Regions from separate parts of the Mus musculus genome. Here region 1 is reported to be linked to region 2. The links are microRNA targets in miRTarBase. Many come from high-throughput screens and were not tested one by one. Region 2 holds a microRNA gene; the other region holds the end of a gene's coding sequence.

The links. The annotated mature microRNA mmu-miR-1195 reads UGAGUUCGAGGCCAGCCUGCUCA and lies in region 2 at 1,257-1,279, opposite strand. An mRNA with a match to its seed (bases 2 to 7 or 8) in the 3' UTR can be bound and repressed. Matches are read on the target gene's strand: a 7mer-m8 pairs with bases 2 to 8, a 7mer-A1 pairs with bases 2 to 7 and ends in A, and an 8mer does both.
Region 1: the mRNA of Dnase2a is a reported target of mmu-miR-1195. Seed matches in the 3' UTR shown: 7mer-A1 at 920-926 and 8mer at 948-955.

The regions. Positions count from the first base shown.
Region 1 is chr8:84,910,277-84,914,276 of GRCm38, forward strand. It overlaps Dnase2a (deoxyribonuclease II alpha), which reads left to right. Exons shown (of 6, transcript NM_010062.4): 6 at 410-1,427. The coding sequence ends at 756. Mast1 (microtubule associated serine/threonine kinase 1) reads right to left here. Exons shown (of 26, transcript NM_019945.2): 25 at 3,044-3,231; 26 at 1,577-2,965. The coding sequence ends at 1,710. It overlaps Gm38426 (predicted gene, 38426), which reads left to right and starts at 3,059. Exons shown (of 3, transcript NR_103491.1): 1 at 3,059-3,252.
Region 2 is chr17:70,859,302-70,863,451 of GRCm38, forward strand. It overlaps Mir1195 (microRNA 1195), which reads right to left and starts at 1,299; the gene lies at 1,202-1,299.

The sequences.
Region 1 (4,000 bases), not on the chromosome of region 2:
TTAAGGGTTCCCTTAGTGGGTTGTGAAATAACACATAATTGTTTGGTAAGGATTCCCTTTAGGGGTGTGGGGAGGCAGGCCCTCACTGTGTATCCCTGGCTGGTCTGGAACTCTCAGAGAGCCATCTGCCTCTACTGTCTCAGCGCAGACTTTAAAGGCTCGAGTCTCCATGCCCAGCCTATGTGTTTGTGTAAGACCTCTCTGTACATTCCAGGCTAGACTCCATCTGAGAGCCTCTTGTTCCAGCTTCTGAGTGTTAGGGCTGCAGGTGTGACCTGAAGAGGGACCTGACCTGTTAATAGGGGCTGCTTAGGTTCACGTCATTCCAAAAGTAGACATTTGAGCCGAGCAGGAAGCCATACCGAGGAATGTACCAGTGGCCCTCACCTCATCCTTCCTTCCCCTGCAGACCTGTACTCCGGATGGTTGGCAGAAGCCCTTGGCACCAACCTACAGGTCCAGTTCTGGCAAAATTCTCCAGGCATCCTGCCCTCCAACTGCTCTGGAGCCTATCAGGTTCTGGATGTGACACAGACAGGATTCCCTGGCCCATCTAGACTAACTTTCAGTGCCACAGAGGACCACTCCAAATGGTGTGTGGCCCCTCAAGGGCCCTGGGCCTGTGTGGGTGACATGAATAGGAACAAAGCAGAGACACACCGAGGTGGCGGCACAGTATGCACCCAACTGCCTTCCTTTTGGAAGGCCTTCCAGTCCCTGGTGAAAGACTGGAAACCCTGTATAGAGGGGAGCTGACTGAAGCCCATCGGAGCAAAGGACTAAGACTCCGCAGTCTAACCAGGTGGGGGCCGGACTAGCCTTTACCCCAGCACTTGGGAGGCAGAGGCAGGTGGATCGATTCTCTCTCTCTCTCTGGTTTTTCGAGACAGGGTTTCTCTGTGTAGCCTTGGCTGTCCTGGAACTCACTCTGTAGACCAGGCTGGCCTCGAACTCAGAAATCTGCTTGCCTCTGCCTCTGTCTCTTTCTCCCAAGTGCTGGGATTAAAGGCATGCGCCACCACTGCCCGGCTCAGGTGGATCTCTTGAGTTCCAGGCCAGCCTGGTCTACAGAGAGTTCCAGGAGAGCCAGGGCAACACAGAGAACCCTTGTCTCAAAGAAAAGAAGAAGAAGAAAAAAAAAGAAAAACAAGAAAAAGAGAAAAGAAAGAAAGAAAGAAAAGACTCAGAGACTAGTTTTGACTTGAATTTGTTTGTGTGTCTGTTGGTGGGTTAAACCCAGGGCTTACCACATGGGACACAAGTACAGTGCTGCTGAGCCACACTCCCTGTCCCAGCTATGAATCTGAATACCAGTTCAGTCCCTTCCTAACTGGAGACCTTAACAGTGCCTTAACCTCTAGCTGTCTGTTGCAAAATGGGCATCACAGCATGTCTCTAAGAGGTTGTTAATACAACCAACTCTGTGCATGGCACTGGTAACCTTTTTCTTAAGATGGAGCCCAAGACACAGACCAGGGGTGGGACACCTTTTCCTTACAAAAGCTGTTACCACGTGTGGAATTGGCAGTGGATGGGACATAGGAAGGCCCTAATGAAAGCCACCTTCTTACTTTCTGAGAAGCCAAGGGCCATTCCTGTCCAGAGAGGAGGTGTGAACCCCAAGAATCTCAGGCAGCATGGGCACTTTATTTATATGTGTACATATGTATACAGGCATCTGTACAGCACAGCACCGAAAGCCTGCTCCGCTATGGACCTAGAGATGCAGGGCTAGGTGCCCCAGTTTTGGTGAGGCCTGCAGGAGTCACAGCTTCAGCAGGACACCGGGAGTTCAACCCTGCTTCAGGCTTGGTGCCTGGGACCATGAGGGAAGCAGGTGGGACTGAAGGAGCTGCACTGCGGGGTACATTCTTTGTTGGGACTAGGGTTGGAGTCTGGGGGTCAGGAGAGAGTTTGGGGGAGGCGGGCTTAGAGCGAAGTCCGCTTAGCGTGGTCCGCTCTTCCACCTCCTCTAGCACCCAGCGCTCCCTGCCCCTTGGGGCATCAGGCATCAGAGGCATCTGGGCTACAGGTTCCTTCAATCCCTTGGAGTCTGTGCCCAGAGGCTGGGGTGCCTGGGTCTTGACCCCTGGCCGAGCAGGCTCTACAACAATGGGCACCGGGGGTGTGCCTGCCTCACCAGAGCTACTGCGCCGGCCTGTCTCATGTTCCTGCACTGGACTTAGCGCTGCCTTGGCCAGGGCCCTGGCCACCCCACCTGGGCCATCCTCAGTCTGCACGCTCTGGTGCCTTGTGCAACCCGAGTCACGCTCCAGGGTCCGGCTCCCAGGGGTTGTCGCGCGAGGTGGGGTGCAAGCCTCTGTACCTCCCGCGGAATCCTCCTTGCTTGACGCCATAGGTCTCTGGACACCATCGGGTAGCAACGGGTCCGCGCCCAAGCTTAGGGGTGATTCCTGGCGACCCAGGCGTCGCACGGCGACCTGCCGGGTCGCCCCAGGACCCTCAATAGGAGGCGTCTCACCATCAGACTCAGCGAGGCTATGCAGGGCCAGCTCACCATGGAAGTCCTTTCGGAAATCAGGGTGTCCCACTTCCAGGCTGTGTTTGCGCAGTGCGCCCTTCTTGTCTGCTCCCAGCGAAGCCCCTAGTTTCTCCGCTGACTGCACGCGCTTGAGCAACGGCGAGCGTGGTGGCTCTGCACTTTTGGGGCGCGGGCGCACGACAGGTGGCGATGAGTGTAGTTTGGCAGGGAAGCTCTGCGTGGTATGTGAGCTGCCCACCGTGTGGCCTGGCAGCGGCGGCGGCGACGCCTGCGTCGGGGATGGTGTGTGCGCTAGAGGTGACAGCGGGATGTTGCCAGCCGATTTACAGCGCGCTGAGCGGTACTGGCGGTGTAGTTTCGGTGACAGCCCGTGCAAGGTGCTGGGCCTGATGTGGTGCGAGGCGGATGAGGCGGGGGAATTAGGCGTGCTGGAAGCTGGCGAGCTACTCTGTGACGAGGCGCCTGCAGGCCAGAGAAGGTGCAAACATTCTGAGCACCTCAGTGTCCTAGTCCCCTACCCCGCGCAGGCGCAGAACATACCTAGGTAGGCGGAGTCAGGTGTAGAGCGATAGCTATGTGTGGGCGAGCGTGCGGGTAGTCCGTGCGTGGGCGAGCCCGGAAGACTGTCGCTGGACGACAAGGACCGGTTCAAAGAGGACAGCGATCGACTGGTGTGCAGCAGGTTCGACTGCTTTGTGATCTTCCGAAAGAGAGAGCTCCGCTTCTTGCTGGAGGACAAATACCAAAAGGTATTTATTTGTCTTTCCTTAACTTCGGAGCTCTGGATCACCCCCACCCCCACCCCACCCCGGTTCTAGACTAGGCAGTAACCTCCTACCTCTTTCTAGCATTTCCCCTTTCCCTACAACCCGTTTATCAAAGCAGAACTAGAGTTCTGCTCAGTTCTGCTTGACCGTGCCTTCTCTTTTTCTGGCTACGGTACAATGCAAGAAAGCCCATCCAAAAAAAACCTCCGCCTCTTCTGGCCCCTCCCAAACATCTAGCCACACTCCTTTCCCCTGTAAGCCCACTTTACAGGTTAGTTCGCTTCCTTCAAATCGACACACGAGTCCTGGTCAAATCTCTCTCTCTCTCTCTCTCTCTCTCTCTCTCTCTCTCTCTCTCTCTCTCTCTCTCTCTCTCTCTCTCTCTCTCTCTCTCTCTCTCTCCTCTGTTCTGTCTCTCTCACAGACAGGGTCACTATGTACTTCGGGCTACCCTAGAACTCTTTGTATAGATAGGACTGGCTCTGCACTCACAGAGATCACCCTGCTTCTTCAAGGATTAAAGGCATGCGGCCCTTTGTCTTTGGGGCTAGAGAGATGACTCAGCAGTTAAGAACCGTGGCTGCTCTTCCAGAGGACCAGACTGGCTTTTCAGCAGTATGTGGCATCTAACAACCACCTGTAACTCTAGTTCCAAAGAATCTGGCGCCCTCTTCTGGCCTCTGCAGGCATCAAGCACACATGGAGTACACATAAACAGAAGCAATCAAAA
Region 2 (4,150 bases):
GGTCACCCCAGAATTATACACCCCATTGTCTTTTGCTGTTTTCTGCTTCTAAGGCTAAATGTTTCTCCAGAGAGAACAATTACTTTTCATCTCTAGTTGGCACTTTAATGCTTTTAGTTCTAATAACCCATTATTTAGGTTAATAAAGAGATAAAAAATTGCTCCAGCAGGCTTACTCTTTTTTTTTTTTTTTTTTTTGGTTTTCCGAGACAGGGTTTCTCTGTGTAGCCCTGGCTGTCCTGGAACTCACTCTGCAGACCAGGCTGGCCTCGAACTCAGAAATCTGCCTGCCTCTGCCTCCCGAGTGCTGGGATTAAAGGCATGTGCCAACACCGCCCGGCAGGCTTACTCTTCAATGTGCGTTTCTATTCTTTCTGCTGGCACCCGACACACTATGTGCTCAGTTTGTTCTGTGTTGTTTGATTGATGAAATACACTCGAATCTTCACACATTTTTTTTTCCTCCTGTGGTTGGAATTGGATAGTTATTGTAACCAAAGGCTCCACAAAAAGCAATTTAAGGGAAGAAAATTTTATTTTGTCTCATGATTCAAGTGACCATGGGCAAAAAGACAAAAACCTTTATATTTTTTCCTTCCTTCCTTCCTTCCTTCCTTCCTTTTTCTGTAAAACACACACACAGAGATATGGGAGGTGTCCTTCAGGCATGTGGAGGTCAGGGGACAGCTTTTAGGAGTCTGTTTTCTCTCTGCACCTTTTTTGGGGGATGGAGTCTCTTCTGTTGCTTCTCACTGAGTAGTGCTCTGGCCTAGGTGGTCCGCAAGCTCTGCTGATTCTCCGTCTCCACTCTCCATCTCTTTCTGAGAGCACTGGGTTACCGTGGCACACCCTTGTACTCGAGTGGGTGCTGGGGATCAAACTGAGCTCAGTCAGGCTTGTGCACCCAATCAAGGCCAGTGCTTTAGACTGTCCTGCCGTCTGTCCATCTCAAGAGGGCATCTTCATTAAATGGCAAGAAATTAACATTGTGCTCATGAATAGAAACAAGTTTTTAGCTTGACATTTTAAATTTCTACAAATAATGCAGGCTTGACTGTGTCGTGTGTATAAGCCTTGTGTGTGGTGTTCAATACTGTGTAGCTACTACAGCTTCCCCTCAGAATGTAGACTGTTCTCTCTCTCTTTTCTTTTTTCTTCTTCTTTTTTACTTTTTCTTTTTTTTTTTTTTTTTACTTTTTACCTTCTTGAGACAGGGTTTCTCTGTGTGTTCCTGGCTGCCCTAGAACTCATTCTGTTGAGCAGGCTGGCCTCGAACTCACAGAGATCTGCCTGCCTCTACCTCCCAAGTGCTGGGATTAAAGGCGAGCGCCACCACAGCCCGGCTGCCTGGCAGATTTATTTATTTATTTATTTATTTATAACCTTGATCTCATGTTTAAGGTGATGTGTCCCAAACTCTCCACTGTGGGCATTATGTTTTCCTTTATGGTTGATAAATCTATCAAATGTATCAAAATAGGTGAATGTCCTGTCTTTGAAGCCTTCAATCTCAGCCTCCTCACTCCATCATTCCTTCTCCATTGCTTTGCTGTGTCCTATGGTAGGGAGAGCTGCCCCTCCAGTTGTCTGTGCTGCTCTGTCTACTTACAGGACATTTGGAGTCCTGGTTTATTTAGTGCATTAATAGCCTCTTATTATTATTATCATCATCACCACCACTATTGTAAAAATTCTTGGATTTACCCAGAGGAAGTTCCTCAAACTGTTTTTTTATTAATTTATTCTTTGACAATTTGATATATACACAGTGCATTCTGATTATTCTCCCTGTCTTCTCATCTTCCCCTCCAGTCCCTCTGACATGTTCATGTCTCTCTCTCTCTCTTTTTTAATATTACATGTTTTGCCTGAATGTACTCATGTGCCCCATGTGTGCCTGCTACCTGCAGAGGCCAGAAAAGGGCATTGGATGCTTGGAATTGCAGTTTGGATGGTTGTGAGCCCCATGTGGGTTCTCTACAAGAATAACAGGTGCTCTTAACCTCTGCACAACCCTCGAGCCCCTTCATGCCTTCTTGTTTTGCACCCCTTGAGTCTAACCACAGTGGTTCACGTGCCACTGGGTATAGAAGCATTCGCTGAAGTTGGTAGACTCACCCAGTGAACACACAATTGAAGGCAGTGACTGTCCCTGCCCCAGCAGCAGCCAGCACCAATAGTCCCCAAACCGGTTTCCTTGTCCTCTTGTACCATTCTTGGAAGATTTTCTTACCGTCTGGGACAGTGGCGTGTCTCAGGTGCATGCTACACTTCCCCTGCTCCAGTCCCCAAGCCCTGGACTGATCATTTTTCCAGCAAGTGCTGGCTATTCTTGTAGAAAAGAGAATCACTTATAGACATCAACATGAGCTCCAGTCTAGTGCACTGCTACTGAACCATGATTGCTTACTTCTGGGTTTCTCAGCAGAACTAAACACACACACACACACACACACACACACACACACACACACACACACCTTCATATGTTGGAAATCATGAATTCAAGCAGGGTACAATGGTTAACAGCTATATATTTATACTTCTGATACTTAGGAGATAGGCATGGGAATTTGGAATTTGAGGCCACTCTGGGCTACCTAGGTAAGAGTATATGTGAAAACAAGAGTATGTGTGTGATGGGGTGTAGTGGAGGAAAGGAGGGGCCCACATTATTTTGTGCTTCCAATTTCAGCAAACACAGCACTGCCTTCCATTCCCCGCCTCTCATATCTGCGCCCTCTTTTCTAACCACAAGCAACCTGCTTTCCATTACCTCAGGGTAATGAGTACTTAGTCCCATTACCTCAGGGTAATGAGTACTTAGTCCTAGATAGCAAGCTAGAACAGCCCTACCTGCCACTGGTAACTAACTCCTGTTTGCTTCCTCCCTTTGGTCTGGGGGTTTAAAGACAAAACATCCCTACTTCAAGTAATTCTGCCTTCCACACTCTTCAACTGACTGGCGCTCTCTTGAAATACATCTAGGTGATTTTCTGTTTGTTTGTTTGTTTTAAAGATTTATTTATTTTATGTATGTGAGTACAGGGTTGCTGTCTTCAGACACACCAGAAGAGGGCATCAGATTCCATGACAGATGGTTGTGAGCCACCATGTGGGTGCTGGGAATTGAACGAGGGACCTCTGGAAGAGCAGCCAGTGCTCTTAACCACTGAGCCATCTCTCCAGCCCCCATCTGAGTGTTTTTCATTGTGTCCCACACTGTGCCTCTCATTCTTCTGACTCTACAATTTTTTTTCTTGCACTTGTACATTTAGCAGAAATCCGTACTAAGTGAAAAGTTCACCCAGACACCAGTCAAACCCACAGATTCTGCCCACCTTGTAGTCACTGCTGGAGGCAGGAGGATTATGAATTCAAGGTTTTACTTAGCTACACAGAGGTTTGGAGCCCAGCCTAGGCTCTATGAGATCTTGTCCTAAAAACAACAATTAAAACAAAACCTGTGTGTTCTATATTCTGGGTATGTGTTTAGGGCTCTATTTCTGGCAGTTATAATATTTATATTATGTATAATATTATGTATAATATAAATATATAATGATTATGTAATTGAAAATGCTTTTAATATCAGGTTATAGAAGTCTTACTTAGTTTTACAGTTATATATTACTGTTACAAGAATCTCAAGGGTCGGGCTGACGGGGTGGCTCAGTGGGTAAGAAGGTGAACTGGGTATTGTTGCTTGCTCCTTTCCCCAGTGTGGCCATTTTGAATAAACATCCTTTCTCTGCTTTTGGTTTCTTCCCTTCCCTTGTGTGACGGTGGACAGCTGACCACACCTAGCTTGTTAGGGCTGCCAGGTCCTGAGGCTTCGACCCTTAAAATTCTCACTGACTGCTCTTCTGAAGGTCCTGAGTTCAAATCCCAGCAACTATCTGGTGGCTCACAACCATCCGTGATGAGATCTGATGCCCTCTTCCGGTGTGTCTGAAGACAGGTACAGCGTACATACGTATAATAAATCTTTGGGCGAGCAGAGGTCCTAAAAATTCAATTCCCAACAACCACATGAAGGCTCACCACCATCTGTACAGCTACAGTGTACTCACATAAGATAAATAAATAAATCTTTAAAAAAGGACAATTGCCAAAAAAAAAAAAAAAAGAATTTTAAGGGTCGAAGCCT